4 linked regions of the Anolis sagrei genome follow. The protein of the gene in region 1 interacts with the protein of each later gene in a pairwise test. Links are inferred from orthologs where the notes say so. Each region holds a gene or a part of one and is shown on either strand. Other genes may lie near its edges. The genes, in order: FHL3, HIPK1, PIERCE1 and MRM3.

Region 1 (8,260 bases):
TCCCAGTAACTACAACTCCCAAATGACAAAATCAAGCCACCCCCACCTGTATTCAAATTTGGGCATGTGGGATATTTGTGCCAAATTTGGATGAATGAAAATACATCCTGCATATCAGATATTTACATTACAATTCATAACAGTAGCAAAATTACAGTTATGGAGTAGCAACGAAAATAATGTTATGGTTGGGGGTCACCACAACATAAAGAACTGTATTAAGGGGTTGCAGCATTAGGAAGGTTGAGAAGCACTGCCTTTAAGAGAAAGTAAGGGTGCCCCCCCCCCCCAAAATCCTTGCTGACTCAGGAGGAGGATGGTATTGCTCACCTTTGGCCTGAGCTGCCTCTCCACTGAGTCACCGGGACAGACGGAGGCGAAGGCAGACAAAGGAAGGAAGGAAAAGGGGAAGGAAGAAAAAAAAGGAAGGGAGAAAGGAAGGGTCTGCTTCAGTCAGCTGCCTCCTCCCTTCTAGACATCTGGAAACTTGGGTGGTGGAGGGGGGAGAGGCCCTCCTTGTAAGAGCCCCTCTGGACTAAAGGCCCAGCCATTGTGGGGAGGGATGTGGGGAAGTGGGACAGGAGCCCCCCCCCCCTTTCACCCCCTAGTCTCCTGTTTCATTGCAAGCCAGAGTCATTCCCCGGCACCCACCCCGCCCTGGGTTTAGCACTGCTTTGTGCCTGGGCTGCATCCCATTCGGGGAGGACAGATAGCCTAGGGCAGTGGTTCTCAATTTTCCTAATGCCATGACCCCTTAATATAGTTCCTGATGTTGTGGTGACCGCCCAACCATAAAATTATTTGTGTTGCGACTTCATAACTGTAATTTTGCTACTGTTATGAATCGTCATGTAAATATCTGATATTAAGGATGTATTTTCATTCACTGGACCAAATTTGGCACAAATATCTGATATATCCAAATTTGAATACTGGTGGGGTTGCAGGCAGGCCCGTAGCCAGGATTTCGTTTCGGGGGGGGCTGAATTTTTTTTTCAGGGGGGGTTTCGGGGGGGGCTGAGTTTCGGGGGGGGGGGGGGCTGAGTCTGAGTGAAAGAGGGGCTAGCCTAGCAAACCTTTTGTATCGTTACCCCAATACCCCCATGCATATGGGATATATTGATTATGGTGATCAGATCATGATATGAATAAACATAACAGTTTAAATAATGCACCATTAAGGCCTTTTCGCGAACCACCATGAAAATTTCGGGGGGGGCTGAAGCCCCCCAAGCCCCCCCCCTGGCTACATGCCTGGTTGCAGGGGGATTGATTTTGTCATTTTGGAGTTATAGTTGCTGAGATTTATAGTTCACCTACCATCAAATAGTATTCTGAAGTCCACGAACGATGGAATTGAACCAATCTTGGCCCACATAACTCCCATGAACAACAGAAAATACTGGAAGGGTTTGATGGGCATCGACCTTGAGTTTTGGAGTTGTAGTTCACCTACGTCCAGAGAGCACTATGGACTCAAGCAAGGATGCATCTGGACCCAACTTGGCACAAATGCTCAATATACCCAAATGTGAACACTGGTGGAGTTTGGAGAAAATAGACCTTGACATTTGGGAGTTGTAGTTGCTGGGATTTATAGTTCACCTACAATCAGAGAGCATTCTGAACTCCACCAAGAATGGAATTGAACCAATCTTGGTACACAGAACCTCCATGACCTAGAGAAAATACTGGAAGGGTTTGGTGGCCATCGACCTTGAGTTTTGGAGTTGTAGTTCACCTCCATCCAGAGAGCACTGCGGACTCCAGCAAGGATGGATCTGGACCAAACTTGGCACAAGTGTTCGATATGCCCAAATGTGAATACTGGTGGAGTTTGGGGGAAATGGACCTTGACTTTTGGGAGTTGCAGTTGCTGATATGTATAGTTCACCTACAATCAAAGAGCATTCTGAACTCCGCCAATGATGAAATTGAACCAATCTTACACAGAACTCCCATGAACAACAGAAAATACTGGAAGGGTTTGGTGGGCACTGACCTTGAGTTTTGGAGTTGTAGTTCACCTCCATCCAGAGAGCACTGTGGACTCCAGCAAGGATGGATCTGGACCAAACTTGGCACAAGTGTTCGATATGCCCAAATGTGAACACTGGTAGAGTTTGGGGAAAATAGACCTTGACATTTGGGAGTTGCAGTTGCTGGGATTTATAGTTCACCTACAATCAAAGCATGGATATGGACCAAAGTTGGCACAAAAACTCAATATGCCCAAACGTGAACACTGGCGGAGTTTGCGGAAAATAGACCTTGACGTTTGGGAGTTGCAGTTGCTGGGATTTATAGTTCACCTACAATCAAAGCATGGATATGGACCAAAGTTGGCACGAAAACTCAATATGCCCAAACGTGACCACTGGCGGAGTTTGGGGAAAATAGACCTTGACATTTGGGAGCTGTAGTTGCTGGGATTGATAGTTCACCTACAATCAAAGCATGGATATGGACCAAAGTTGGCACGAAAACTCAATATGCCCAAACGTGAACACTGGCGGAGTTTGGGGAAGATAGACCTTGACGTTTGGGAGCTGTAGTTGCTGGGATTTACAGTTCAACAACAATCAAGGTGCATTCTGAACCTCACCAATGAGAGAATTGGGCCAAACTTTCGACCCAGAACCCCCGGGCCAACAAATACAAATACTGTGTTTCTTGATGGTCTTGGGCGACCCATCTGACACCCCCCTCACGACCCTCCCCGCAGGGGTCCCAACCCTCAGATTGAGAAAGGCTGGCCTTGGGACACCCTAGTCCTGTTGGGAGCCCCTCAGCCTCACAAGGGAAGTAGAGTTCATTATTATGATTAGGGGTGATGTTGATTTTTCTCCCTGGACGACTTCCTGAGGGGATGGGGGGGGGGGGCAAGGGCATTACGACCCCCAATGAAGCACCACATGCCTCTTTTAAAGGAAGGAAGGAAGGAAGGAAGGAAGGAAGGAAGGGAAAAGGAAAAGGAGGGAGGGAGCTGGCCCGCTCTCCCTCCGCCTGTTTCTCAATGAATGTCCTTTGTGGGGCGCTGGACTGAGACCCCCACCCACCCAGGACAAAGAGCCTCCCTTCCTCAAGGCTCCCCCCTTCCTGGACCCCTCTTCTTTCCCTCGCTTGGCCTCACCTGCTCCTCCTTCGGGGCTCCTTCTTCCCTTCCTTCTTTCGCTGCCTTCCTCCTCCCGTCCAGCGCCGGAGGACCGGGCCCGTCCTGCCCGCGCCTCTCCCTCCGTCCCTCCAAGGTGGAGCTCTTCCCCGCCCGGCTGGAAGGGAGGAGGTGGGAGGGGCGGAACCCCCAACTGAGCCCCGCCCACTCCTCTGCGGCCCCGCCCCCTTGAAGTCCCCGCCCCTCTCCTTCCCTCACCATCCCCTCTGTGTACAAGCCCCCAAATGAAGAGTTCTGCTTCTCCTCCCCCGAGAATTTCGATAGGCACCAAAGGGCGGTAGTAATTGGTGACTTCAACAGCCATAGCCACGTATGGGGCTATGCCCAAGAGGACAGAAATGGAGAGGCTGTCCTCTCCTGGTCTGAACTGCACAAACTATCACTCATCCATGATAGCAAGCTCCCCCCATCCTACAATAGCGGGAGATGGCACCGAGGCTATAACCCAGACCCAGAGGCAGCCCTAGGTAATTTTCAACGGTAAGCAAACAGTATTTTGGCGCCCCCCCCCACCCCCAACCAATCATTGATATATATTTTCTGTTTGTCGTGGGAGTTCTGTGTGCCATATTTGGTTCAATTCCATCATTGGTGGAGTTCAGAATGCTCTTTGATTGTAAGTGAACTATACATCCCAGTAACTACACTTGCCACACTCGCTCCCTTGCCTGGCCTGCTTTGGGTCCGGAGGCGTGCCTGAAGACCCCGGCGTGTGCACCAAAAGTCACCTCTTCTCCTGACTTTCTTCTCAGCCATTGGGACCGAGAGAGAGAGAGAGAGAGAGAGGTGGAGATGCCCACCTTTCCTGAAGGTAGGCGCAAAAACAAAGGAGGGAGCGGAGGTGGGAGATACTTCCAGCCAGAGGGGCTCTCTCTCTCTCTCTTGGTCCCAATGGCTGAAGAGAAAGTCAGGAGAAGAGGCGACTTTTGGTGCGCACGCTGGGGTCTTCAGACACCCCTCCGGACCCGAAGCGGGCCAGGTGCAGTGGCTCCGCCCCTTGGCCCACCCATGGATTGGGGAGAGGAGGCGGGTGGAGCGCCGGGGGATCAGGAAAGGGAGCTGGTCATGGGGAAGGGATCAAACGCGGAGAATGACTGAGTGCTGGCTCTGCTTGCGCACCCGGTGGCCGGGTGGAGCAGGAACGAGAGGGGCTAGGCAAGGCTCAAGGGCACGGCCCCTTTGGGAAGAGGATCGCCCGACAGCGAGGCAAGAAAGACGAGGCTCCCCCTGGACTGCTAGGGCTGTTGTGAGCTGAGGGGGCGCTCCTCAAGTGGCGGTCGAGGGGCATTTACAGAGGCACCTCTGCACCCCTGGCAAAAAAAGAGTGTTCTGCGACCGCTTACTTCGCGTAATGGACGAGCCGCCCCTGCCCAGACCTCTTATTTGTGAGCGACAGCATTGTACAGCACTGCACTAAATCAGTGGGACCACCAATTCCAAACACACAGCACCGACCAATAATATGCCAACTGTTCCCAACAATAAGGCCTCAGGAAGTTCGATTTAAACAAAGATACAACTTCAGAAAGGCAGATTGGACTAAATTCTCAGACATGTTAGATGACATGATCACATCGGCCGCGCCAATCCCTGAGGAATACGAGCATTTTATTGAAATCGGGAAAACCTGCTCACGGGCCTCGATACCGAGAGGCTGCAGAACCAACTACCTTCAGGCATTACTCCTGAAACAGCTGCCTTGTTGGAAAACTATTACAGACTCCACTTCGAAGGCCCATTTAGTGAGCAGACTCTTCAGGCAGTGCAGAACATTGTGTCCTCCATCTCTGAAGCCAAGAAAGAACATTGGATCAATCTGATCACAGAGGTCGACATGGGCAGGAGCAGCCAGAAGGCGTGGAGGTTGCTAAGATGGCTGAGCAACGACCCCTCACAAACTAATACCCATGCCAACATAAAGGCAGATCAGATAGCACACCAACTCTTGAAGAACGGGAAACCCAACCTTGCCACCAAAGTAGGAAAGAAACCAATAGCCAGACAACAAGAGATTGAGAACAACAACCTTCACGAACCCTTTACATCTACTGAATTGGACATGGCTCTCAATAAATGTAAGAATGGCAAAGCAGCTGGCTTGGATGATCTACAAATGGAACAAATCAAGAACTTTGGCCCAAAAGCAAAGTGCTGGTTACTGGAGCTGATGAACAACTGCACTGCATCCTGTCAGATCCCCAAAATCTGGAGGAAAGCAAGAGTCATTGCCATCCTGAAGCCAGGCAAAGACCGTAATGATCCAAAAAGCTACAGACCAAACTCCCTGCTGTGCCACCTCTACAAAGTTCTGGAGAGACTTATTCTGCATAGAATTATGGAAAAAATAGACCCCTGTCTGATCCCACAGCAAGCTGGCTTCAGGAAAGGCAAAAGCTGCACATCGCAAGTGCTGAACCTGACTCGGCACATAGAAGATGGCTTGGAAAAGCAGCAGACCACAGGAGCTGTCTTCATAGACCTGTCAGCGGCTTATGATACTGTGAACCACCGCCTCCTCCTGAGAAAAATGTATAATATCACAAAGGACTACCACCTCACCCGCCTCATAGGAAACCTGCTACAAAACAGGAGCTTTTTTGTTGAGTTCCAGGGCCAGAGAAGCAGATGGCGGAAACAGAAGAACGGCCTGCCTCAGGGGAGCGTGCTCGCTCCATCCATGTTCAACATCTACACAAATGACCAGCCACTGCCAGAAGGGACAGAGAATTTCATCTATGATGATGATCGTGCCATCACCGCCCATGCAGTGCGCTTTGAAATGGGAGTGTGCTTGCTCCATCAATGTTTAACATTGACACAAATGTCCAGCCTCTGACAGAAGGGACAGGGAGTTTCATCTATGCTGATGATTGTGCCATCACCGCCCAAGCAGGGAGCTTTGTAATGGGAGTGTGCTTCCTCCATCAATGTTTAACATTTACACAAATGAGGAGCCCCCGGTGGTGCAGTGGATTAAACCCCTGTGCCAGCAGGACTGAAGACCAACAGATCGCAGGTTTGAATCCAGGGAGAGCGTGGATGAGCTCCCTCTATCAGCTCCAGCTCCTCATGCAGAGACATAAGAAAAGCCTCCCACAAGTATGGTAAAAACATCACAATATCCGGGCGTCCCCTGGGCAACGTCCTTACAGACGGCCAATTCTCTCACACTAGAAGTGACTTGCAGTTTCTCAAATCACTCCTGACACGACAAAAAAAATTACACAAATGTCCAGCCTCTTCCAGAAGGGACAGCGAGTTTCATCTATGCTGATGATCGTGCCATCACTGCCCAAGCAGGGAGCTTTGAAATGGGAGTGTGCTTACTCCATCAATGTTTAACATTGACACAAATGATCAGCCATTGCCAGAATGGACAGTTAGTTTCATCTACATTGTCAGCAGCTTGTGACACTGTAAATCATCGTCTTCTCCTGAGAAAAACTTACACTATCACAAAGGACTACCACCTCACCCGCTTCATAGGAAATCTGCTACAAAACATGAACTTTTTTCTTGAATTCCAGGGCCAGAGAAGCAGATGGCGAAAACAGAAGAACGGCCTGCCTCAGGGAAGCGTGCTCACTCCATCAATGTTTAACATTGACACAAATGATCAGTCATTGCCAGAAGGGACAGAGAGTTTCATCTATGCTGACAATCATGCCATCACCACCCAAGCAGGGAGCTTGGAAATGCTTGAACAGAAGCTCTCTGAAGCTTTAGGTGCTCTTACTGCCTATTACAGGGGGAAATGGCTGATTCCTAATCCATCTAAAACACAGACATGTGCTTTTCACCTTAAGAACAGACAAGCATCTTGAATTCTGAGGATGATCTGGGAAGGAATCCCACTGGAGCATTGCAGCACACCAAAATACCTGGGAGTTACCCCGGATCGTTTCCCGACCTACAAGAAGCACTGCTTAAATATGAGGGTTAGATGCCTCCATCTTCATAATTCCTCAACAGATGGCAGTACTGGTATGTGGCAGGTCCTGGCTTGTTCAGTAGACTCTCCTCCACAGTTCCATTTTGGCGGGAAGCCTTAGCATTGAACGTTTGTGTTGTTAAAGTGCAAAGTATGGAACCCTGCACAGATGATTGGTCAATGCAACTTAAGCAACGTGCAGTCATTGAATTCTTGACAGCAGAAGATGTCACCCCAAAGGAGATTCATCAGAGAATGCAAGCTGTTCATGGTGATTGTGTTGATGTGAGTACTGTGTGTCATTGGGCGAGTAAGTTTAAAGATGTTGAGAGGAACATCTGACTTGCGTGACAAAGAGCTGGACGTCCTGTGACAGCAACCACCGAGTTTCCCAAGCAAAAGGTTGACAGATTGATTCAGGACGATTCACTCAGAGAGAAATTTCAAGCATAATCGACATTTCACAAGAATGTGTGGGTCACATTATTGCTTTGCTTGGCTATCGGAAGATCTGTGCACGATGGGTACCCAGGATGACAGAACTGTGAGACACTGGTTCCGAAAACAGAGTGTCGACTTCTTCTGTGATGGCTTCAGAAAACTTGTTCATCGTTGGCAGAAATGTATCCAATTGTTTGGTGATTATGTGGAAACTGAATAGTGGGAGTTAAAGAGCACATTCTAAGGATTATTTCTGTGTTTATTAAAATATTCTCATCCAAACCCAAGTAACGAAGGTGAAGGTATTACTTTTCATTCAACCCTCGTACCAAGCAAAAAGTGGGTGCTAAAAATTATATATGAAAGCTGACAGGCAAAACCTGGCGATCACAACCAGACAGTGAAGATATCTGCCCTTGCACTTTGCTACTCTGCTGCTGAATATGCCTACCCACTGTGGAATACCTCTCCGGGTATTCCAGGGATGTGTTATTGCCCCAACTTTATTCTCCATCTCCATTGCTATGATACTTCACCTTGTTGATGGGAAGCTTCCCACCGGAGTGGAAATCATCTATCGGACAGATGGCAAGCTGTTTAACCTCAGCAGACTGAAAGCCAAAACCGAGGTTACAACAACATCTGTTATAGAACTCCAGTATGCTGATGACAATGTTGTCTCTGCGCATTCAGAAGAAGATCTAAAAGCCACTCTA
Region 2 (8,040 bases), on another chromosome or scaffold:
CTTCAGTTTCTGTGATTTACTGGGGAGATGGGGGGGAAGTCCCTAATATTCCCAGGTCACTGAAAACTGGAGGGGGCTCCCCTTCAGAGACTAAAAGAGATACTGGAAACCTAATCCCTTTGCAATTCTGGTGGAGGATGGGGAGCTTAATCTGTTTTTCCATGAGTTTCAGCGATTGGGGAGAGGGGGAAAGTGCATCATAGCAATTAGGAGAAAAGCTGAAACCAAAGCTCCCCTATCCCCCAGCCTCCCATTACGAGGTTTCTGGCCAATTCAATAAAAGCACTGACATGCTGGAACATGTCCAGAAAAGGGTGACAGAAACGATCAAAGGTGTTGGAAGCCAAGCCCCCCCCCCCCCCCCCCAATGCAGCTGAAAGAGCTGGGTTATGTTTTGATTGGAGAAAGAGAGGGCACACGATAGCCACCGCTCCGAGTTGCCTCTGGGCCGAGAGGGGCGGTATATAAATATAGTAAATAAATAATAAATGTTTAAATGTTTAAATATTTGAAAGGGCGTCATACTGGAAAATTGAGAAAAGCTTGTTTTCTGCTGGCAATGGATTCCAATTGTAGGAAAAAGAGGAAGGACTTGTTGACGATAAGAGAACACGTAGACCAAGCACAGGCAAACTTGGGCCCTCCCTCCAGGTGTTCTGGACTTCAACTCCCATCATTCCTAACAGCCTCAGGCCCTTTCCTTTTCCCTCTCAGACACTTAAGCTGTTTCTTGCGAGCTCTGTAACCTTGTAAGGGGTGATTGTGCCCAGAGCCAAAGCAGAACTTTCTTGTAATGTATAAATGAAGAAACCTATTGAAACATAAGTAGATGTGGGTATAAGTACCTGTTATGCTCAAATTCACTCTAGAAAAAGCTGGAAATAGCCAGTTTTTTTAACTGGAGTAGCCAAATGTTGTCATAAGTGGATCCAGTGAATGATGAGTGAGAATTTTAAAAGCCTGTGCCCAGCCCACTGAGAATTAATGTTGTCTTGAGCATGTATGTAAAAAACGTCAGTGATATTAACATTAATGACTCAACTGTGTTGCATATTTGGCAATAAGGCACATACATCACATGAGGCCTGACACATTTTATAGTGTTGTATTTAAAGCATTTCTTCTCTGGTTTTCGGTAATTAAAGTGAAGAGGCTCTGATGTGATGCCCTCTTTTAAGAAGACAAACCTTGTGGAACCCCCTAGTCCTGGTTTTTCATTAAGGAACTGGGAGGCATAGGGGATTTATTTGCAAATAAGCTGCGGGTAACTGTCCTGAAAGGGAGGCAGCATACTGACTGAAATTTCACATATGATTCTTAGTTTTTGCAGGTACAATTCACTTTACAACATCTTTGTTCTCACACCCCTTCTCCTTTTCATCTTGTTTAATCCTGCACATGTCACCATTTCATCAGACGCTTATCAAAACAGTTTAGGAAAGCAAATTCAATTCATCAAAATAAAAATATATCAACATGCCATTTCTAATTCCTATATCTAAGGTTTTACTGCTATTGCCTGCTTATATGATTTCCCTGCGCCATACAGAGTTCTTTGCATCTCTTAAGAAGGCGATTTTTTTTTTGTCATGTCAGGAGTGACTCCTGGTGAGAGAGAATTGGCCGTCTGCAAGGACGTTGCCCAGGGGACGCCTGGATGATTTGATGTTTTTATCATCTTTGTGGGAGGCTTCTCTCATGTCCCCGCATGAAGAGCTGGAGCTGATAGAGGGAGCTCATCCACCTCTCCCCGGATTCGAACCTGCGACCTGTTGGTCTTCAATCCTGCCGGCACAGGGGTTTAACCCACTGCAATGATGGCCTCTTTATTGTCCCATTTTGAGCATGTTTTCTTCATTCTGTTTATGTGAGTATTTTCCTGTGTGTGATTTCTCATGGCTTAAGACTAAGGCACATTTCCTTCTAATGCTAAGGACTATGGCTATTTATTATTCAAGTTAAATCAAATTAAATAGGTGACCCTTGTCCCAGTCACTTTCAAAAGAACTGAAGTAAAAACATTAGAAGCACCTAAGTAGGGCAGACCAAATGCCTATCTAGGCCATCATTCTGTTTCCACAATAGTCATCTAAGTTTGTGAAGTCCACAAACAGGTAGATGGCAACCAATATAAAATGGCTAGTAGCCAGTGATAGTCTTTACTACATTTTATGGAAGCGGCTGAGGGGGAAAGGAAAGGGGCCTGATGCTGTCAGGAATGGTGGGAGTTGACGGCATTGGTTTTTATATGATTTTAAAGCTGGTTTTTTAATTTTGTTTTAAATGTTTTGAAGTGTATTTGGTTAAGGCACTGGTTCTCAATCTGTAGGTCCCCAGATGTTTTGACCTTCAACTCCCAGAAATCCTAACAGCTGGTAAACTAGCTGGGATTTCTGGGAGTTGTAGGTCAAAACACCTAGGGATCCACAGGTTGAGAACCACTGGGTTAAGGCATCGAATTACTGCCTGGTTGTAAGCCGCCTTAAGTCACCTTCGGGCTTGAGAAAGGCTGGATTGAAATATGTTAAATAAATAAATATGTCCAAAACACCTGGAGGGAGGGGCCCAAGCTTGCCCCTGCCTGGTCTGTACACTTGTGGGGGTTTTTAAGCAGAGGCTGGATGTCCATCTGTCGGGAGTGCTTTGATGGCGTGACTACGTGATAGAGGGGTTGGCCTGGCTGGCCCCTGGGGCCTCTTCCAACTCGGGTGAATTCTCAGTGAGTGGGAAGGCCCCGGTGGCGCCAGGCTGGGGCCTACCTCTCCCTCCCTCTTTCCGCCCGTCCCTGGGAGGCCCGAAGGCCGCCGCCTCCTCGCTCATTCGCACTTACTCGCCGCCGTTGGGGGCGCCTCAGCCGCGGGCCGGGCCGGGAGCTGCCTGCCGGTGCCGGGGGACGAGCGGGCGCATCCTACCCGCCGGAGACGAGGCCGGCCCGGGCGAGGAGGGGCAGCCGCCGCCACTGCCGGGCCGCCTTGGCCTTGTGGAGCCGGCCAGCCCGCAGGCAACCCCCCGGCGGTTCCGCCAGGCTTCGGCCCTCCTCGCCCGCCCGCCAGCGAGCCGCCTTCCGAGCCGCTGCGGCCGACGTCTCCTCCTCCTCCTGCTGCCGCCTCCTTCGCCTCCGCCGCCGCCGCGCCCTCCTCAGCGGCCCCCCTTCCTTCCTCCCCTCCTTCCCTCCTTCCTTCCTCCCTTCTTTCGCCTCGCCTTCCTCCCTCCGTTCAGCCCAGCTGCTGCTGCTGCTCGCGCGCCCCTCGCCGCAGCCAGGCCCAGCCTGCCGAGCCCAGAGCGGAGGAGAAAGAGGAGGAAAAGGAGACCGGCGGAGGCCAGCGCGCGAGACGCCCAGGCCCAAGCAGTCGAGCGCCGAGGCCTGTGATTGGACGCGCGTCACGTGACCTCTCCTTTCCCCTCCCCCCCTCCCGGAAAGCCGTTGGGCCGCGCGGGGGGGGGGGGGCGAGCCCGGCGCCATGATGGGCCCTCAGCCGCCAAGGGAGGGAGGTATTTCCCAGTCGTGAAGCTCTCTTTCAAGAATATTTTACATATCAAGGCACACACAAAGAATATTTTACATATCAAGACAGGCGCACAGAGATACCGAACGACGCCACAGGCACCGGACTAGGGAGTAAACAAGGACCATTGAGCGTAGTAGGCCAGCCTCAGTCGTGCCCCGAGCAGCAAAGGCCTGGAGTGCTTCTACGGGTCATGGCAGCCAAACTATTAATTTACCAATGTAGATCTTAGAAAAGATTCTAAGATCTACAGAAACTCTCAGCAAGCGAGAGTCCAAAAGTGGCAGGCTCAAACGCAGAACCTCAATCCATGGCTGATACCAAATGAGAGACTCCCTCCTGGGCACACAGAAGACTGGGCAACTTGGAAGGCGCTGGCACCACGAGATGCAGAGCCAACCTTAAGAAATGGGGCTACAAAGTGGAATCCGCGGCATGCGAGTGTGGAGAAGAGCAAACTACAGACCACCTGCTGCAATGCAACCTGAGCCCTGCTACATGCACAATGGAGGACCTTCTTGGGGTAACATCAGGGGCACTCCAAAGTGGCCAGCTACTAGTCAAAGGACATTTAATCAGCTACCAAGCTTGCAAACTTTGTGGTTTGTTTGTTTTGTTTAAAAAATGCAACGCAACTGTTTGGTCTGCCCCTGACACGATAGATAAATAAAACCTCCATGGCTTAACCCTCATCCTCCTTGACTTGAAAAGCAGGCAAGCAGAGGCTCAGGCGGCCTTTCCCCTTTCCTGCCCCGTTTCTCCCGGCGCGTTACTCACGTCTTTTCCACCTCAGCATGGCTTGATCCAAAGGGCTTCTCCCAAGCGGACGAAACTTCTCCAAACTCGGTTCTGTCTGGATGTGTCCAGAAAATAGGACTTCCTTCGGCCAAAGCCTAAAGGAATGGCTGCCTTTCACCCGTCGAAGGAGCCCAAGCGATGCCTTCTAGAATCCTTTCCCGCTCCAAACCGCCTGTGAGGTCTCTTCGGTGGTTCTTTTCCAACGGTTTTCGAAATAGCCCGGGTCTTCTTGAGACCCACGGTTGTGTCCCTTTTTGAAACAACAGCCCTGAAACCCCTCGGGCCCTTTCGGTCTGTCCTTTGAGGAGGGAGCATTCGTGCCCCGCTGCATCTTATTGTCATGTAAATATTTTAGCACCTTGGTGGGAAAGGTTTGGCCATTGGCAAGGACCTTTCCAATCAGTGGGGCTAAAGCAGGTATGGGCAAACTTGGGTCGTCCAGGTGTTTTGGATTTCAACTCCCACCATTCCAAACTGCCTCGGGCCCCAGAAGCAGCTGAGGACGGAAAGGAAGGGGCCTGAGGCTGTTGGGAATGGTGGGAGTTGAAGTCTAAAACACCTGGAGGGCCCAAGTTTGCCCATGCCTGGTTTATAGACAGCCAAAAACAAATAATAACATTTCCTTCGTTAACTTCAGAATCACCTTTTGGCATACTTTTTTCCAGGCATATTCTCTTCAAAGGGCTGAGAAACTTCACATTTCTAGTAATTACATGGCGCAAGTCTTCAGTAACTGAAAGTTGTGTTGCTTTGTTGTTGGGCTTCTGATTTAAGGCGACCATAAGGCACATAATACAATTTTAGTCTGAGGATGACTTGGGTTGAGACAGTGTGACTTGCCCAAGGGGTTTTTTCATTTCTGAGTCGGAATTCAAACTCTATAGGATGCATCTACACTGTGGCGCAATAGGTTAAACCCTTGTACCAGCTGGAGTGCTGATCAAAAGGTCGACACTTTGAATCCAGGAAGTGGAGTGAGCTCCCATCTGTCAGCTTCTCATGTGGGGATTTGATAGAAGCCTCCCACAGGATTGTAACACATCTGGGCATCCCCTGGGCAGCGTCCTTGCAGACAGCCAATATTCTCACATCAGAAGCGACTTGCAGTTTTTCATGTCGCTCCTAAAATTCTACACTGTAGAAATAATGTAGTTTGGCACCACTTTAACTGCCATGGCTCAATGCTATGAAATCCTGACAGTTGTAGTTTTACAAAATCTTGAATCTCCTCTGCCAAAAAAATGAGGGTACCTCAGAAAGATACAAAGTGCGTTGGTTTCTCACCAAACTGCGGATTCCACCTTTCCATAACATTGAGCCACAGCAGCTAAGTGATGTCAAACTGCATTAACTTTACAGTGTAGACGCACCACTAGTTTTCAGGTTGATTTTACATTTATTGACTGATTTCTGCCCCACCTTTCTCTGAACATGGGAACAGAGGGGTCCTACAACAGATTCAAACAAGATAAAACCTGGTGATAAAGCAGTTTATACACATAATTAATCATTACAATCTTGTTTGAATAAAAAAGGTCTTTGCCTACAGGCAGAGGAGGAGCAGATACTGGGCCAGTTTGGTGTAGGTTGGTAGTGTCTTCTGCTTTCTATTCTTTTGATTTTTTTTCTTTTGTGTAAAGCTTAGATATATCCCAGGGTTTCAAAGTAAGTTTATATCCACAAAATCTCATGCTAAAATACAAACTAGATAATGTTAAAAGAGCTGCAACGTTTCTCTCTCTCTACCACTATCTCTTTTCAAGTGGCTGAGAGACGAACCTCTCTAACAAGAACATACAACAAAATCCAGAAAACACCAATACCTTTATTTGGCAAATTAAAAAAGCAAAAAAATTGTCAGGCACAGGAACCACACCTCTGGCTGGTATGTGAGGGCTCCTAAATAACAAGAAACTGCCAGGAAGAAGCTTTTGAATGGTTTTGCATCTCCTTGCCAGGCATCATAAAACAGCACACTTGTAGTGTAGAGTTACAGTATTCTTCTCTTCTTAAGCTTTTATGGCCACCGTTTCAGAATAATATTGTAGGTCAAAGGCCCAGGACTTTGACTTAACTATGTATAATTCTGTTGGCTAGAATATAAATTCGGGAATTGTCAAGATCAGTCCGTACTAATGCAAACAATATGCCTTGAGAAGCAGGAGCCTGGCCTAATTCAAAATATAACTATATTATTTTTTTTTCAGGCTCTGAAAAAGAATTACACAAACCATAAAGATTGCAGCACTTGAAACTGGACCATTTTATCTCTAGAAAATCAGACATAGAGGAAAAGGACATTCTTCATCTTTGATTCCACGCATTTTATGGGGGTGGGGGGAATGAGCATCAAAGGGGCTTACAATAGTCAATAAACTCCATTGAGCCCGTGTGACAGATTTCTGGATAAATATGAAAGGGATTGCCCTCTTAAGTGTAAGCAAATCAAAATATTCCCTCCCCAGATCTGGAGAGCAGTTATTCTTAAATAATCAGGAATAGCAAGAAAGAAAGAAAGGAAATGTGGCAACAATTAATCAGCAATAGTTGCTGTTTTGTTTAGTACAATTGATCATTTCTAGAGGCAGTTGTGGTCCTCCAGATTTTTTGTAGACTACGGTTTTCAAAATCACTGGCTTTAACTGGAGTCCAACAATACCTGAAAGACCATAGTTTTCCCGCCCTTGTTGCACATCTTGCTTTTCTTCCATCATGGATTTTCCAGTCTTTCATTGAGGCACTGTCAATAGACAGACCTTAGCTTCAATACGGTGCCTGTATTATATGACACAGACCAGGAAGGAGAACCATAATGTTTGTCTCCCGATCCTATCTGTAGATATTGCTGGACTGCAAGCAGCCCAAGCCAGTAGAGCCAATGGTGAGGAATGCTGGGAGCTATAATCCAACATCTGGAAGCCATATAATTCTTACTCCTGGCCCAGAAATATAAGTGAGACTTATGAATTTTTCCTACTGTGTCAGAAAATAAACCAAATGTTAAATTAAAGTTACAATTAAGCCCAAAATCCATGGTAGTGGATTACCAGCATGTTGGAACTCCATTTTATTCCACCCTACACACTGAGCTGTCTAAAATGCTGGCTTCTTTCTGCTTCCTGGCCCTCTGGGTTAGGTTTTTTTTTTTTGTTTTGTTTTTTTGATGCACATAAATGTAAGATCCCCCTTGCTCCTGTTTCTGTACTGTTATGCTGTTCCACCAGTAGAAATCCAGTCTTCTATCTTTCCTTAAGTTCTATATAGTATTTTGTGTAAGTGCATAGCAGCTGTGCAACACCAAAAATCTGGAGTTGGCTATCAGACAAATTTGTAAAAAGAAGTAACTGCAAATCTGCATCCATCACTCAAAGAAATATGTTTGATGGAGCTTAGAATGAGTTTTATTAATGTCTGGTCTCAGGCTATGGAACTTCCCTCTTTTGCGAGATAGGCTTATGCTGGACCGACACTGTCATAATGCAGTTGAAAATCTTAGAATCATAGAGTTCATCATGTAGCATGTTCATCATGTAGCATGTTCATGCCATGTAGAGTTCATCATGTAGTGGGATAGAAATAGGATTTTTTAAATCTATATTCTGCTATCTCTACTTATTCACTCCTTTCTCTCCCATATCCTTCACCCCCTTTTTGCCATCCCTCTTCCGATTGCCCCTGTTTGCCACCTCTTTTCCCCCTTTCTTTACCTTCCTTTCTCCTTTTCCACCCCTTTCAA
Region 3 (8,310 bases), on another chromosome or scaffold:
ATCCATCCATCCATCCATCCATCCATCCATCCAGCTATCCCTTCCAACTAGGGTTCCATCCATCCATCCAGCTATCCCTTCCAACTAGGGTTCCATCCATCCATCCATCCATCCATCCATCCATCCATCCAGCTATCCCTTCCAACTAGGGTTCCATCCATCCATCCATCCATCCATCCATCCATCCAGCTATCCCTTACAACTAGGGTTCCATCCATCATCCATCCATTCATCCATCCAGCTATCCCTTCCAACTAGGGTTCCATCCATCATCCATTCATTCATCCATCCAGCTATCCCTTCCAACTAGGGTTCCATCCATCATCCATTCATTCATCCATCCATCTATTCCTTCCAACTAGGGATCCATCCATCCAGCTATCCCTTCCAACTAGGGTTCCATCCATCCGTCCAGCTATCCCTTCCAACTAGGGTTCCATCCATCCATCCATCCAGCTATCCCTTCCAACTAGGGTTCCATCCATCCATCCATTCATCCATCCATCCATCCATCCATCCATCCATCCATCCATCCAGCTATCCCTTCCAACTAGGGTTCCATCCATCCATCCATCCATCCATCCATCCATCCATCCAGCTATCCCTTCCAACTAGGGTTCCATCCATCATCCATTCATTCATCCATCCAGCTATCCCTTCCAACTAGGGTTCCATCCGTCTCATCAATTCATCCATCCGTCCATACAGCTATTCCTTCCAACTAGGGATCCATCCATCCATCCATCCAGCCAGCCAGCTATCCCTTCCAACTAGGGTTCCATCCATCCATCCAGCTATTCCTTCCAACTAGGGTTCCATCCATCTATCCATCCATCCATCCATCCATCCATCCCTTCCAACTATAGGAGTCCATCCATCCATCCATCCATCCATCCCTTCCAACCAGGGATCTATCTAAAGCCAACGATCAGATCTCCGATCTGACTCCTTGCAAACGTATCATGACTCCAAAGTTGTACTCCTTTCTCTTCCCTTGAGAAAAGGAGCAAGTGACCGGACTGTATTCCATTGCAGAGCTGTCCCAAAGGCACACCATCTCTCTTCTTCCTATGGAGTAGAGAGGCGGCTGGGCAAGACTCCTCTGGTCTGCCACAATTTTGGAATATTAGAAGGTCTCTTACATAGCAATATATCTTGCTAAAGTTGTTCCAAAGTTGTAAATGAATGATAGATGTTTTTCCAGCCTGAAATATCCTGGCTCCCCAAGTCCTGGCAGATGTTGACTCTCCTTATGTTGGTAAACATAAGGAGCCTTGTGTTGACTTCCTTCTTAACGTAAGGAACCTCATAAATATTTCCTTAACTCACAGAGCCATTGATTATGATAATGTAAAAACTCTGGTCCCCCCCCCCCCCCGCCCCCAAAGTTGTAAATGAATGGTAGATGTTTTTCCAGCCTGAAACATCCTAGCTTCCCAGTTCCGGGCAGATGTTGACTCTCCTTAATTGGTGTTGGTAAACGTAAGGAGCCTTGTGTTGACTTCCTTCTTAATGCAAGGAACCTTGTAAACATTTCTTTAACTTACAGAGCAATTGTCTATGATAATGTAAACACGTTTTTCTGCCAAGGTTCAACAATTAATCATTGTCACAGTTCTCATCAGCAACTTTTAATTATAGTCCATGAATTTTCACCTCTTTCTTGTAGTTTTTGGGCTTCATTCCTTAGGATGGCATCTCCCAAAAATGCTGTATATATATATTAGGCATGGGCAAACTTTTTAACACAAAGCACCCCCTATAGATAGCCATCCAGCCTTTGCAATAATAATAATAATAATAATAATAATAATAATAATAATAATAATAATTTGCAGCTCAGTGCTATGGGATCCTGGGATGTTTAGTTTGGGGAGGCATCAGACCCCTTTGGCAGAGAAGACAACAGGTCTTGCAAAACTATAACTCCCAGGTTTCCCACAGCGTTGAGCCACGGCAGTTCAAGTGGTGTCAATCAATCTGCATTGTTCCCCAGTTTCTCAGAGCTAGAAATTCCTAGAGAGGTGTTCTCCTAGCAGTATGGGATGGGACCCACCTGTGGCGGCATCCCTTCTTGTGTCCCAGGTGGACCCGGGCGTCGAAAAGGTCCTTAAGGGAGAAGAGCTCTTGGACGTTGAAGTAGTCGGGGTGCTTCAAGGGCTCCGTCAGCAACATTTCACTCATATCTGAAAGCGGGAAAAGGAGAAGAACAAGTGCTGCGATTCCACCTTAACTTCACCCCATCCCTCCACATTAGTTGGGGACACCCACGAAACCCCACATAAGGAAACCGCTGCCTGGGAGAAGGTCACTCGAAGGGACAACCCGATGGTCAACAGGAAGACTTACCATTGGGAGGCACTTTCTGCGCAATCACGGTGGAAGCAGGAAGAGGAAAAGAGGAAGACATCCGCACCAAAGAGCTGAAGCGGCCAAGATTGGGGACAACTGGAACAAAAGGGGGAAATACAGCTATCTCATAAATGGCTTCTGCAACCACAGATCCCATAATCCACATCTTGAAATCATTCTAGCATCCATCCATCCCTTCTGATTAGGACTCTATCTATCTATCTATCTATCTATCTATCTATCTATCATCTATCTATCCCTTCCAACTCTAGGATTCTATCAATATCCATCCATCCATCCCTTCCAACTAGGAATCTATCTATCTATCTATCTATCTATCTATCTATCTATCTATCTATCTATCTATCTATCCCTTCCAACTCTATGATTCTATCACTCTATATCTATCTATCTGTCTGTCTGTCAGTCCATCCATCCATCCCTTCCAACTCTATCTGTCTGTCTATCCCTTCCAACTGTAGGATTCATTCTCCCTCTCTCTCTCTCTCCCTCCGTCCGTCCGCCCATCTATCCCTTCCAACTCTATCTGTCTGTCTCTTCCAACTAGGATTATATCATCTATCAATCTATCCCTTTCATCTCTAGGATTCTAACAATAATCTATCTGGGTTGTTGTAAGTTTTTTCGGGCTATATTGCCATGTTCTAGAGGCATTCTCTCCTGAACATGGCCATATAGCCCGAAAAAACCTACAACAACCCAGTGATTCCGGTCATGAAAGCCTTCGACACTTATCTACCTACCTACCTATCCATCCCTCCGTCCAATCCTTCCAACTCTAGGATTTTATCAATATCTATCCATCCACCCCTTCCAACTAGGAATCTATCTATCTATCTATCTATCTATCTATCTATCTATCTATCTATCTATATCTATCTATCTATCCCTTCCAACTCTAGGATTCTATCCATCTATATCTATCTATCTATCTATCTGTCTGTCAGTCCATCCATCCATCCCTTCCAACTCTATCTGTCTGTCTGTCTCTTCCAACTAGGATTCTATCATTTATCGATCTATCCCTTTCATCTCTAGGATTCTATCAATAATCTATCTATCTATCTATCTATCTATCTATGTCTTCCAACTTCTATCATCTATCTATCTGTCTGTCTGTCTGTCTGTCCGTCCGTCCGTCCATCCATCCCTCCCTCCCTCTGTCCACCCCTTCCAACTAGGACTCTATCTATCCATCTATCCCTTTCAACTCTATCTATCTATCTATCCATCCACTCACCCACCCACCCACCCACCTACCCATCCATCCATCCCTCTGTCCACCCCTTCCAACTAGGAATCTATCTATCTATCTATCTATCTATCTATCCCTTTCAACTCTATCTATCTATCTATCTATCTATCCATCCATCCACTCACCCACCCACCCACCTACCCATCCATCCATCCCTCTGTCCACCCCTTCCAACTAGGAATCTATCTATCTATCTATCTATCTATCTATCTATCTATCTATCTATCCCTTTCAACTCTATCTATCTATCTATCTATCTATCTATCTATCTATCTATCTATCCATCCATCCACTCACCCACCCACCCACCCACCTACCCATCCATCCATCCCTCTGTCCACCCCTTCCAACTAGGAATCTATCTATCTATCTATCTATCTATCTATCTATCTATCTATCTATTCCTTCCAACTCTAGGATTCTATCAATTATCTATCCACCTACCTATCCCTTCCAACTCTATCTATCTATCTACTCATCTATCTCTTCCAATTCTCTCTCTCTCTTCCAACTAGGAATCTATCTATCTATCTATCTATCACTTCCAACTCTAGGATTCTATCAATATCTATCTATCCATTCATCCATCTGTCTCTTCAAACTAGGAATCTCTCTATCCACCCACCTATCCCTTCCAACTCTCTCTCTCACTCTTTCTATCTCATATTTTCCAACTAGGATTCTATCTATCTTTCTTTCTTTCTTTCTTTCTTTCTACTCATCTATCCCTGCCAACTCTAGGATTCTATCTATCTATCTATCTATCTCTCTAAGACCTCTTGGTGGTACAGTGGTTTAAACCACTGAGCTGCTGAACTTGTTGATGGAGAGGTTGGTGGTTCGAATCTGTGGAGTGTGGTGAGCTCCCACTGTTAGCCCCAGCTTCTACTAAGCTAGCAGTTTGAAAACATGCAAATGTGAGTAGATCAATAGGTACTGCTTCTGCGGGAAGGTAACGGCGCTCCATGCAGTCGTGCCAGTGGCCACATGACCTTGGAGGTGTCTACGGACAATGCCGGTTCAACAGAAAGGAGAAAAACATGAAAATGAACAAAACCTGGCTACCAGTATTATAAAAAAAAAATCTAAAATAAGGAGGGTATTACTAATTACTAAAGAATTACGAAAGAATTACTAAAAAAACAAGGAAATTCCAGACAGGAAACAATCTGGTCCGGCTAACAGGCAGGAAGCAGCCAGACTTTGAAACTGCAAGGCAGACAAGAGTTCCCAGCTTCCCAAGCCAAGCCTTCCATTGCGAGAAGTAGGATATAATCAACATAAATATAAATAATTGGTGCTCACCTGTCCTCCAAAGCCCTGGAGCCGCCATGCCTGCTTTGCAGGAAGGAAGGAAGGAAGGAAGGAAGGAGAGAAAAGAGAGAAAAGAGGATGGAAGCAGCTTTGCTTTTTGCAGCTCCCTCTGCTGACTCCTCCAAGCACAACTCTGCTGCACCCATTCTCTTTCAAGAGGCCTGTGCCTTTAAGAGCATCTCTTGTTGTGGTCCCCGGTCTCCTAGCAACGGGATGCTTTGTTTCCACCCAACAGCCAATCAGAACCCTCCTGGCTTTGATCCCAGGCCAGTTCATCCTTTGGGACAGAGGTGAGAATCTCTCCGAAATGGCCCAAAAAGAGCCTCTTCCCCAATTGGAACCGCCGACAACGAAAGAGGAAGGCAAAGAGGAGAGGACCAGCGACTATTACCGCATCCATCCGAATTTACCAACCCGCTTCGACCGGCCGGGATGGTTTCGGGGTTACAGGTGAGCTGCGGAGGTTCGAAAGTGGCGTCACACGACATTAAGTATTTTTAGGAATATTTTGTGAATATTTCAGAGAATATTTTTGTGAATATATGTTATGAATATTTCTGCCAATATTTCCATGTTTTGTGACTATTGCTGCAAATATTTTTGTGAATATTTCTGCAAATATTATTCTGAACATTTCTGCAAATATTTTGTGAATATTTCTGCAAATATTTTGTGAATATTTCAGAGAATGTTTTTGTGAATATATTTTATATTTCTGCAAATATTTCAATGTTTTGTGAATATTTCTGTGAAGTTTTGTGAACATTTCTGCAAATATTTTGTGAATATTTCTGCAAATATTTCAATGTTTTGTGAATATTTCTGTGTTTTGTGAATATTTCTACAAATATTTTGTGAATATTTCTGCAAATATTATTCTGAACATTTCTGCAAATATTTTGTGAATATTTCTGCAAATATTTTGTGAATATTTCAGAGAATGTTTTTGTGAATATATTTTATGAATATTTCTGCAAATATTTCCATGTTTTGTGACCATTTCTGCAAATGTTTTTGTGAATATTTCTGCAAACATTATTCTGAACATTTCTGTAAATATTTTGTGAATATTTCCGCAAATATTTCAATGTTTTATGACTATTTCTGCAAATATTTTTTGTAAATATTTCTGCAAATATTATTCTGAACATTTCTGCAAATATTTTGTGACTATTTCTGCAAATATTTTGTGAATATTTCTGCAAATATTCTTGTGAATATTTCTGCAAATATTTTTTCTACAAATATTTTTGTGACTATTTCTGCAAATATTTTGTGAATATTTATGCAAATATTCCTGTGAATATTTATGCAAATATTCCTGTGAATATTTATGCAAATATTCTTGTGAATATTTTGTGAATATTTCAAAGAATGTTTTTGTGAATATATTTTATATTTCTGTAAATATTTCAATGTTTTGTGAATATTTCTGCAAATATTTTTTTGAATATTTCTGCAAATATTTTTGAATATTTCTGCAAATATTATTCCGAACATTTCTGCAAATATCTTGTGAATATTTTTGCAAATATTATTTCTACAAATATTTTTGTGAATATTTCTGCAAATATTATTCTGAACATTTCTGGAAATATTTTATGAATATTTCTGCAAATTGTTTTGTAAATATTTCTACAAATATTTTTTCTACAAATATTTCTGTGAATATTTCTGCAAATATTCTTGTGATTATTTCTGCAAATACTTTGTATTTGTGTAAATATTTTGTGAGTATTTCTGCAAATATTCTTGTGAATATTTCTGCAAATACTTTTGTGAATATTTATGCAAATATTCTTGTGAATATTTCTGTAAATATTTTTGTGAATATGCCTGCAAATATTTTTGTGAATATTTCTGCAAATACTTTGATGAATATGTTTATTTCTGAAAATATTTTTGTAATTATTTTATGAATATTTTAAATATAAATATTTTATTTATATTTTTGTGAATATTTCTACCAATATTTTTTTGGAATATATATATATATATACTCCAGCAAAGGATCACCGCCTTGTCGGGGCGCTGGAGCTTGAGCACCTCAATGATGTCATGAGCGAAACCGTGAAGGGCCACCCAAGACGGGACGGTTGTGGCAGAGAGGTCAGACCAAGCGTGATCCCTGGGGAAGGCAATGGCAAACCACTCCAGTATCCTTGCCAAGAAAACTAAATGGACCAGTACAACAAGAGATATGTCGGTATGCCATTGGAAGATGGGACTCCCAGGTCGGAAGATGGCCAAAATGCTACTGGGGAGGAGCAGAGGATAAGTTCAACTAGCCCCAGATGTGATGACGCAGCTAGCTCAAAGCCGAAAGGAAGGCTAGCGGCCGACGGTACTGGAGGCGAACGACGAATCCGATGCTCTAAAGATCAACACACCATAGGAACCTGGAATGTAAGATCTATGAGCCAGGGCAAATTGGATGTTGTTATTGGTGAGATGTCAAGACTAAAGATAGACATTCTGGGGGTCAGCGAACTGAAATGGACTGGAATGGGCCACTTCACATCAGATGACCACCAGATCTACTACTGTGGACAAGAGGAACATCGAAGAAATGGAGTAGCCTTCATAATTAATAAGAAATTCGCTAAAGCGGTGCTCGGATATAACCCAAAAAATGACAGAATGATCTCAATTCGAGTGCAAGGAAAGCCTTTCAACATCACAGTGATCCAAATATACGCCCCAACCACAGCTGCTGAAGAAGCAGAAGTAGATCAGTTCTATGAGGATCTGCAGGACCTACTGGATAATACACCAAAAAGAGACATTATTTTCATTACAGGAGACTGGAACGCCAAGGTGGGAAGTCAAATGACAACAGGGATCACAGGCAAGCATGGTCTGGGAGAACAAAATGAAGCGGGACGCAGGTTGATAGAATTTTGCCAGGAAAACTCACTGTGTATAACAAACACTCTCTTCCAACAACCTAAAAGACGGCTTTATACATGGACTTCACCAGATGGTCAACACCGAAATCAGATTGACTACATCCTTTGCAGCCAAAGGTGGCGGACATCTATCCAGTCGGTGAAAACAAGACCTGGGGCTGACTGTAGCTCAGATCACGAACTTCTTATTGCCCAATTTAGAATAAAACTAAAGAGATCAGGGAAAATACACAGACCAGTTAGATATGATCTCACTAACATTCCTAGCGAATATACAGTGGAAGTGAAGAACAGATTTGAAGGACTAGATTTAGTAAACAGAGTCCCAGAAGAACTATGGACAGAAGTCCGAGACATTGTTCAGGAGGCGGCAACAAAGTACGTCCCAAAGAAAAAGAAAACCAAGAAGGCAAAGTGGTTGTCTGCTGAGACACTGGAAGTAGCCCAAGAAAGGAGGAA
Region 4 (8,145 bases), on another chromosome or scaffold:
CAGGCGACTCAATGCGGTTGAGATGGCAGCTGAACAGAACTTAATACAATATATTGTATATACATATAATATTTATAGTATTGTGATGTAATGAAATATAATAATAATATGATATTATAATTATATATTTATATTACATGTAATATTAATAATCTATATAAATAAAAATGTAATGTTCGTTTGTGGGATTAACAGAACTCAAAAACAACTGGATGAATTGCTGCCGAATTTAGCCACAAGACATTTACTATCCCAAGGAGTGACTATCACTCAAAAACTTTGATTTTTGTCATTTGAGAGTTGTAGTTGCTGGGATTTATAGTTCACCTACAATCAAAGAGCATTCTGAACTCCACCAATGATGGAATTGAACCAAACTGGGCACACAGAACTCCCATGACCCAACAGAAATACTAGAAGGGTTTAGTGGGCATTGACCTTGAGTTTGGGAGTTGTAGTTCACTTACAGCCAGAGATCACTGTGGACTCAAACAATGATGGATCTGGACCAAACTTGGCACAAGTATTCCATATGCCCAAATATGAACACTGGTGGAGTTTGGGGGAAATAGACTGTGACATTTGGGAGTTGTAGTTACTGGGATTTATAGTTCACCTACAATCAAAGAGCATTCTGAATCCCACCAGTGATAGAATTGGACTAAACTTCCCACACAAAACCTCTGTGACCAACAGAAAATACTCAAGGCCATCCAGTCCAACTCCCTTCACCAGGGCAAGAAAATGTAAACAAAGCCCTCCTGACAAAGAGCCATCCAGCCATGGATATAGATAGATAGATATGATCCACACACGCACACACAGATAGTATCGTAGATTTGAAAGGGACCCCTAAAGGAGGACAATGATATGTTGAATGTTCCAGTGCAGGCAAACCAGATAATGTCTACATCAACACTGACAAAGAAACAACAAGAAGTACTGATTATCCACAAACAGAAAGACATAGCATCTATTAGAAACCAACACTTTCTCATTATTTTCAAGATCACCAGAGTGGGCCACAGCAACGGGTGGCAGGGGACGGCTAGTATTACAATATAATGGTATAGAATAATATAGTAATATTTAATACTGATATTGTACTATGCTAATAACATAATATATTGTATCATATATATATTGTAAGCTGCTCTGAGTCCCCTTTGGGGTGAGAAGGGTGGCATAGAAATGTCATAAATAAATCAATAAATAATAAATAATGCCTGTGGCTGCCCCTGGCTCACCGATGGCTCCTTGAGACGTGACAACGTCTGACCAGGCCTTGAGGTCTTTGCTGTGCACCTTGATGAGGGAAGCGCTTCTCAGCTTGGCAGTCGGCAGCTCCTTGAGGTGCTCCGTTGAGATGAAGAACAGCGTCTGAGGGGCGGCCCCCGCCTCCAGGGCGTCCGAAATGAGCCGCCGGCCTTCTAGAAGGATCTTCCCGTGCTTCTCGCGGAAGGCCCTCGACTTGGCCAGCGTCACTACTTTGCTGCTCAAAGAAAAAAGTCCGTTACGGCCTCTCAAAAAGCCCCAGAGAGCTTTGATTCGGCGATTTCTCTTCCTCCTTTTAGACTATTTCTGCCAAGTTCGAAAATATGCAAATGCTTCAGCGGGAAGGTAATGGCACTCCAGTCCTGAATCATTGTTAGTAATATTATTATTAGTAATATTACATGTAATATAATATATATAATTATTATATTGTATTATCATTTTTGTTGTATGTTGTGTCTGCACTGTCTGTTTTTGATAAGGCCAACTGGCTAATCAATAAAATGGTTGTTGTATTATCACACACACATATATATATATCTTATATATTTCATTTTTTACATATAGTGTACATATTTCATATTTCTATATACCATATATATGTTACTTAGATTACAAAGAAATAGATCTTTCATCTCTCTCTCTCTCTCTCTCTCTCTCTCTCTCTCTCAAGACCAGCACCTTGAATTGAACTGAACCGGCAGCCAGTGGAGCAGGCATAGCAGGGGGGTGGTGTGCTGCCTGTAGGTCGCCCCAGTGAGCAATCTGGCTGCCGCTCGCTGGACTAGTTGAAGTTTCCGAACAGTCTTCAAGGGCAACCCCACGTAGAGAGCGTTGCAGTAGTCTATTCAGGATGTAACAAGAGTGTGGACCACTGTGGCCAGATCAGACTTCCCAAGGTACGGGCGCAGCTGGCGCACAAGTTTTAATTGTGCAAAAGCTCTCCCGGCCACCGCCGAGACCTGGGGTTCCAGGCTCAGCGATGAATCCAGGATCACTCCCAAGCTGCGAACCTGCGTCTTCAGGGGGAGTGTAACCCCGTCTAACACAGGCTGTAACCCTATGCCCTGTTCGGCCTTACGACTGACCAGTAGGACCTCTGTCTTGTCTGGATTCAATTTCAATTTGTTAGCCCTCATACAGTCCGACACAGCAGGTAGACACCGATTCAAGGTCTGGACAGCCTCCTTGGTGACAGGTGGAAAGGAGTGACAGATCTGGACATCATCTGCATAGAGGTAACATCGCAGTCCGAAACTCCGAATGATCTCCCCCAACGGCTTCATGTAGATGTTAAACAACATTGGGGACAGAATTGATCCCTGAGGGACTCCACATGACAATGGCTGTGGGGCCGAACAGGTGTCACCCAGTAACACCTTCTGGGACCGTCCTTCAAGGAAGGACTGGAGCCACTGCAAAGCAGTACCCCCGAGTCCCATTTCTGTGAGGCGTCCCTTATTATGTATTGTGGGCTCAGCCTCTTGTAAGCTGCACCGAGCCCTTCGGGAGATGTTAGCGGGGTAGAAATAAAGGTTTATTGTTATTATATATTGTTTTTATCTATTTCAGTATATATATAAATATTTATTTACACATATACTCAAAAACATACTATATACATGGCAGTATACCTAAAGCCAGGCCCTTCTGGTCCCAATGAAGCTGCAGGAGCCGCCCTTCCCAGGCAGGACTACATTTCCCAGGCTGCCCTGCGACCTGGGGCCTCACCTCAGCCTCTTGTCTCCGGGGCCGGCCTTCTCGTAGCGCGGCTCGCTCTCCCTGAGGCCCACTTCCTCCCCGCCAGCCTGGGCTTTGGCCTTCTCTTTGGGACCGGGTGGAGGAAGAGGAGGGACGGCGCTGGGACGGGCAGCCTCCTTCTGCTGGGCGGCGGGGGGCAGCACCCGGACGGGGCTCCTCCGCAGCGCCCGCACCCCTCTCACCCCGACGACCAAGAGCGCGGCCTGCTTTCGCCTCAGCAGCGCTGCCATTTTGGTTCCGGGCAGCAGCTACAAAAGGAAAGTCTCGCGTGACTTATTGCGCTCGCTTGGGGAAAGCCGCTTGGCATTCAAATCATCGCGAGATTTGCCTCTGTTGCTATTGACAACGTAACAAAATGGCGCCCGCTATACAACAAGGCGCCGGAAGTGCGGCCTTCACTTCCGGTGGGAACGCGTCCGCCAAAAGAGAAGTCTCGCGGGACTTGCCGCGCTCGCTTAGAGAAAGCCGCTCGGCTTTCAAGTCATCGCGAGAGTTGCCTCTCCCCCCTCCCACCGTTGCTACTGACAACGTAAGAAAATAGCGCCCGCTATACAACAACAAGTGCGGCCTACACTTCCGGTCAGGGCGCGTCAGCCAAAAGGCAAGTCTCGCGGTACTTCCCGCGCTCGCTAGGAGAAAGCCGCTTGGCATTCAAGTCATCGCGAGAGTTGCTTCTCCCCCAGTTGTTCCTGACAACGTAACAAAATGGCGCCCGCTATACAACAAGTCGCCAGAAGTGCGGCCTACACTTCCGGTCGGGGCGCGTCTCTCAAACGTCAGCGCCCACAATCCCTCCTCTTCGGGAAAGAGCGCCAGGCCTGCTGGGAGTTGAAGTCCGAGATCGGAGGGAAGTAAACGACAACATGGAAGCCCGGAGAGCCTTACACTTCGTGTTCAAAGTCGGCGACCGAGCGCAGACGGCGCGGTTCTATCGGGAGATACTGGGCATGCGCGTAAGAGAGGGGGGGGGGGAAGCAGGGAGTGTGACGTCACCGAGGATCGGCGCCGCAGAGGGTCAAACTTATCGGAAAGGCGTTCTGTCCCCTATTGCTGCTGTTTAGGGAGCATTGGCTTTGTTGTTGTTGTTGTAAATGTTAATTAAATATAATAGGAGGCTAGCTATAAAATAGGAGGCCATCTACAGAGACACATATGGAAATAACAACTTATTAACTTATTAGTGATCAATACTAATTATGAATAATAATTAATATTGACTTGTTAATGATTAATACGAATTGTTATCATTAATGTATTAATATTAAATACTAATTAAGAAGTATTAATAATGTATTACTATTAATATTATCATTAACAATACTATTAGTACATTAATATATATTATTAGTATTAATATATTAACGTTCAATTATACTATTATATTAATGTTCAATTATACTAATTATTAGCCTTTCTTAATATGTTAATATATTAATGGTAATAATTACTATAATTGAACATTAATAAATGTTCAATTATAGTAATTATTACCATTAATATATTAATGTTTAACTATAGTAATTATTAGCCTTAATATATTAATGTTCAATTATAGTAATTATTAGCCTTCCTTAATACATTAATGTTCAATTATAGTAATTATTAGCCTTAATATATTAATGTTTAATTATAGTAATTATTAGCCTTAATATATTAATGTTCAATTATAGTAATTATTAGCCTTCCTTAATACATTAATGTTCAATTATAGTAATTATTAGCCTTAATATATTAATGTTTAATTATAGTAATTATTAGCCTCAATATATTAATGTTCAATTATACTAATTATTAGCCTTCCTTAATACATTAATGTTCAATTATAGTAATTATTAGCCTTAATATATTAATGTTTAATTATAGTAATTATTAGCCTTAATATATTAATGTTCAATTATACTAATTATTAGCCTTTATATTAATCTTCGGTTATACTAATTCTTAGCCTTAATATATTAGTGTTGAATTATACTAATTATTAGCCTTAATATATTAATGTTTAGTTATACTAATTGTTACCATTAATATATTAATTTCTAGTTATACTAATTGTTACCATTAATATATCAATATTTAATTTTAGTAATTATTAGCCTTAATATGAAAGGGTCTTTGAGTGAAATTTGCAAATACTAAGTAAGGGGCTTTGAATGAAATTAACAGCAAAAGAGAGACACACCCTTTCTCTGACTTAAAAAGAGCAATATGGAAGAAAATGTTTTTAAGGAACAAGGTGTGACATGTAGAAGGTACACAGGATGCTTGTGGTTAACTTCAAAGGTTTTTTTTGAAGCGCAGAGGCCGCATGTACAAGAAGGTACTTTCCATCAAAAGGTCAGAATTATTATTCACAAAAGGTGTTTTCCCTATGCTTTTTGTTTGTACTGGGCTATAAAGTTTGCAGATTTCAAGGGAAGAGCATGGCAGTCATTTGAAAGGTAACATTTGCGCATGCTGCCCGGCTGTCCGTCTTCTTCATGAAGAAACTGAAATAAAACCTTGTTTTTTTTATCTTTCATTGGGACTGTCTCCTTCCTTTCGTGCTCCCGCGACGTGGACCTAAAAAGACCCAATTTTGGGTTTCTAACAAGTATATTAATGTTCAATTATACTAATTATTAGCCTTAATATATTAATGTTCAATTATACCATTAATAGTAACCATTATTAGTAATAAATTATTATTAATGTCTGAGAATTCTATAATTTCCCAACAGGTTCTACGGCATGAGGAATTTGAGGAAGGCTGCAAAGCCACTTGCAATGGGTAGGAATATAATAATAATAATAAATACCACTTGGCCTTTCAAAATAATTATTAAGCTGTATAAATGTGAACGGTTTATGTTTTAAATTAGCATTTAAGGTTCTAAACATTGAAAACTATAAACTCTATGACTATAAATATTATTGGACACCCCAGCCACATACACACAGGCATATTTTCACTATTTTTGTATGTGCCTAGATAGATGAGCCCCCATTAACTCCCATGGATTCTCTGTGTTTCTAGTCCCTATGATGGGAAATGGAGCAAAACGATGGTGGGATTCGGCCCCGAGGACGGTCATTTTGTGGCCGAACTGACCTACAATTACGGCGTCGGAGGATATCGCCTTGGCAACGACTTCCTGGTGCGGATTTTAAACAATAAGTCGCTTTAAATTTATTCATTTTTGATTATTTTTATATTTTTATTTTATTTTAAATTAGAATTTTAAACAATTATAAATTTATTTAATTTTTTTATTTCAAGTTGGTTTTTTAAATAAGTGATTCTGAATGTATTTATTTGAAATAATAAGTGACCCCTGAATTAATTAAATGAATTCTTTTAAATAATAAGCTGTATTAAACCAGTTTTTAAAATATTTTTGTTTAAAAAATACTAAGTTAATTTAAAATGTATTTATTTCAAAACAGTATTTTAAGTACATTATTCTAAATTTATTTCTTTTAAATTAGTTTCAGGTTAATAAGTTACTGTTTTAAATTAGTTTTTATAAAGTAATAACGAATTAATTTAAATTTATTTGTTTTAAGTTAGGTGTTCTTTTTCTCCAAATTTATTCTGTAAAATAGTTAAATTTAATTTATTTTGAATTAGTTTATATAAAATAATAACAAATTAATTATTTGTTTTAAGTTTGATTTTTTATTTATTTTGTAAACAAGTTAAATTTAATTTATTTTAAATTAGTTTTTATAAAATAATAATAAATTAATTTACATTTATTTGTTTTAAGTTGTTTTTTCCCTCCAAATTTATTTTGTAAGTTAAATTTAATTTATTTTAAATTAGTTTTTAAAAATAGCAATGAATCAATTTAAATTTGCTTTAAGTTCTGTTTTTTCCTCCAAATTTATTTTGTAAATAAGTTAAATTTAATTTATTTTAAATTAGTTTTTATGAAATAATAATGAATTAATATAAATTTATTTGTTTTAAGTTAAGTTTTTTTATTTATTTTGTAAACAAGTTAAATTTAATTTATGTTAAATTAGTTTTTATAAAATAGGAATGAATTAATTTAAATTTATTTGTTTTAAGTTAGGTTTTCTTTTTTTTCCAGATTTATTTTAAATTAATTTTTTAAAATAATAATGAATTAATTTAAATTTATTTGTTTTAAGTTAGGTTTTTTTTCTTGATTTATTTTGTAAACAAGTTTGATTTCATTTATTTTAAACTAATTTAAAAATATAATATGATACATTATATTTATGTTAAATATAATAAGTGACGTTATTTAAAAATATTTTTAACCAATAATAAATTAGTTTAATAATAATGCATTATTTTTCCCGGCAGGGAATGACGATTGCCTCCAACCAAGCGGTAAATAACGCAAAAAGGCTTCAATGGCCAATCAAGGAGATTTCGTCCGGTGTTTACGAAACGGAAGCTCCGGGAGGATACAAGTTCTTCCTGGAAGAGAAGGAAGCTCCCAAGAAAGGTGTCTGTGGAGTTACATACACACATAAATATGTTTTCACTTTTATTATTATGTGTATACATAGATAGATTACTAGTATCTTATTATATTAGTCTATTATTGCTACAATATGTATAGATAAGAGGAAATTACAATATTATAATTAGAACTATTATCCTTCTAAATGTATAATAGCAATAAATTACAATACAATAATTTATTATTAATATAATAATCCTAATGTTATAATGTGATATAATACTAATTATATCACGACGCAGTGGGTTAAACCGCTGAGCTGCTGAACTCACTGGCCGAAAAGTTGGTGGTTCAAATCCCGCTGTTAGCCCCAGGTCTTGCCAACCTAGCAGTTCGAAAACATGCAAATGTGAGTAGATCAATATCTACCAATCTGGATGGGAGGTAAGGGCGTTCCATGCAGTCGTGCCAGTGGCCACATGACCTTGGAGGTGTCTACGGACAACTCCAGCGCTTCGGCTTGGAAGAGCATTCACACCTACTTCGATTTGCATGAGGCCCAAACGAGGTAAATAAAGCACAACTTTCAGTAAATAAAGAACAGGGGAACTCCAGACAAGAAACAACCAGGGGCAACTAATCACCTCTCAAGAAAGGATTCCCCCAGGCAGTAAGAAGCCACACCTTGAAACTG

The links.
Region 2: the proteins of FHL3 (region 1) and HIPK1 interact in binary tests that used the Homo sapiens proteins (3 or more experiments, as listed by UniProt). The two-hybrid records come from large-scale screens. The link is inferred for Anolis sagrei from reciprocal best matches to the Homo sapiens genes FHL3 and HIPK1.
Region 3: the proteins of FHL3 (region 1) and PIERCE1 interact in binary tests that used the Homo sapiens proteins (3 or more experiments, as listed by UniProt). The two-hybrid records come from large-scale screens. The link is inferred for Anolis sagrei from reciprocal best matches to the Homo sapiens genes FHL3 and PIERCE1.
Region 4: the proteins of FHL3 (region 1) and MRM3 interact in binary tests that used the Homo sapiens proteins (3 or more experiments, as listed by UniProt). The two-hybrid records come from large-scale screens. The link is inferred for Anolis sagrei from reciprocal best matches to the Homo sapiens genes FHL3 and MRM3.

The regions. Positions count from the first base shown.
Region 1 is NC_090034.1:86,441,017-86,449,276, forward strand, and holds the start of FHL3 (four and a half LIM domains protein 3), read right to left. Parts: upstream 3,291-8,260; 5' UTR 3,134-3,290; intron 391-3,133; exon of another isoform or gene 331-390; intron 1-330. UniProt on the Homo sapiens protein: Recruited by SOX15 to FOXK1 promoters where it acts as a transcriptional coactivator of FOXK1.
Region 2 is NC_090024.1:202,602,856-202,610,895, reverse strand, and holds the start of HIPK1 (homeodomain-interacting protein kinase 1), read right to left. Parts: upstream 3,307-8,040; 5' UTR 2,831-3,306; intron 1-2,830.
Region 3 is NC_090031.1:4,585,016-4,593,325, forward strand, and holds the start of PIERCE1 (piercer of microtubule wall 1 protein), read left to right. Parts: upstream 1-5,109; 5' UTR 5,110-5,249; coding exon 5,250-5,392; intron 5,393-8,310. UniProt on the Homo sapiens protein: Microtubule inner protein involved in the attachment of outer dynein arms (ODAs) to dynein-decorated doublet microtubules (DMTs) in cilia axoneme, which is required for motile cilia beating.
Region 4 is NC_090031.1:35,292,366-35,300,510, reverse strand, and holds the start of MRM3 (rRNA methyltransferase 3, mitochondrial), read right to left. Parts: upstream 3,305-8,145; 5' UTR 3,267-3,304; coding exon 3,007-3,266; intron 1,493-3,006; coding exon 1,248-1,492; intron 1-1,247. Other genes in the region: GLOD4 (glyoxalase domain-containing protein 4), read left to right, coding at 3,900-3,989, 5,754-5,803, 6,050-6,170, 7,349-7,493. UniProt on the Homo sapiens protein: S-adenosyl-L-methionine-dependent 2'-O-ribose methyltransferase that catalyzes the formation of 2'-O-methylguanosine at position 1370 (Gm1370) in the 16S mitochondrial large subunit ribosomal RNA (mtLSU rRNA), a conserved modification in the peptidyl transferase domain of the mtLSU rRNA.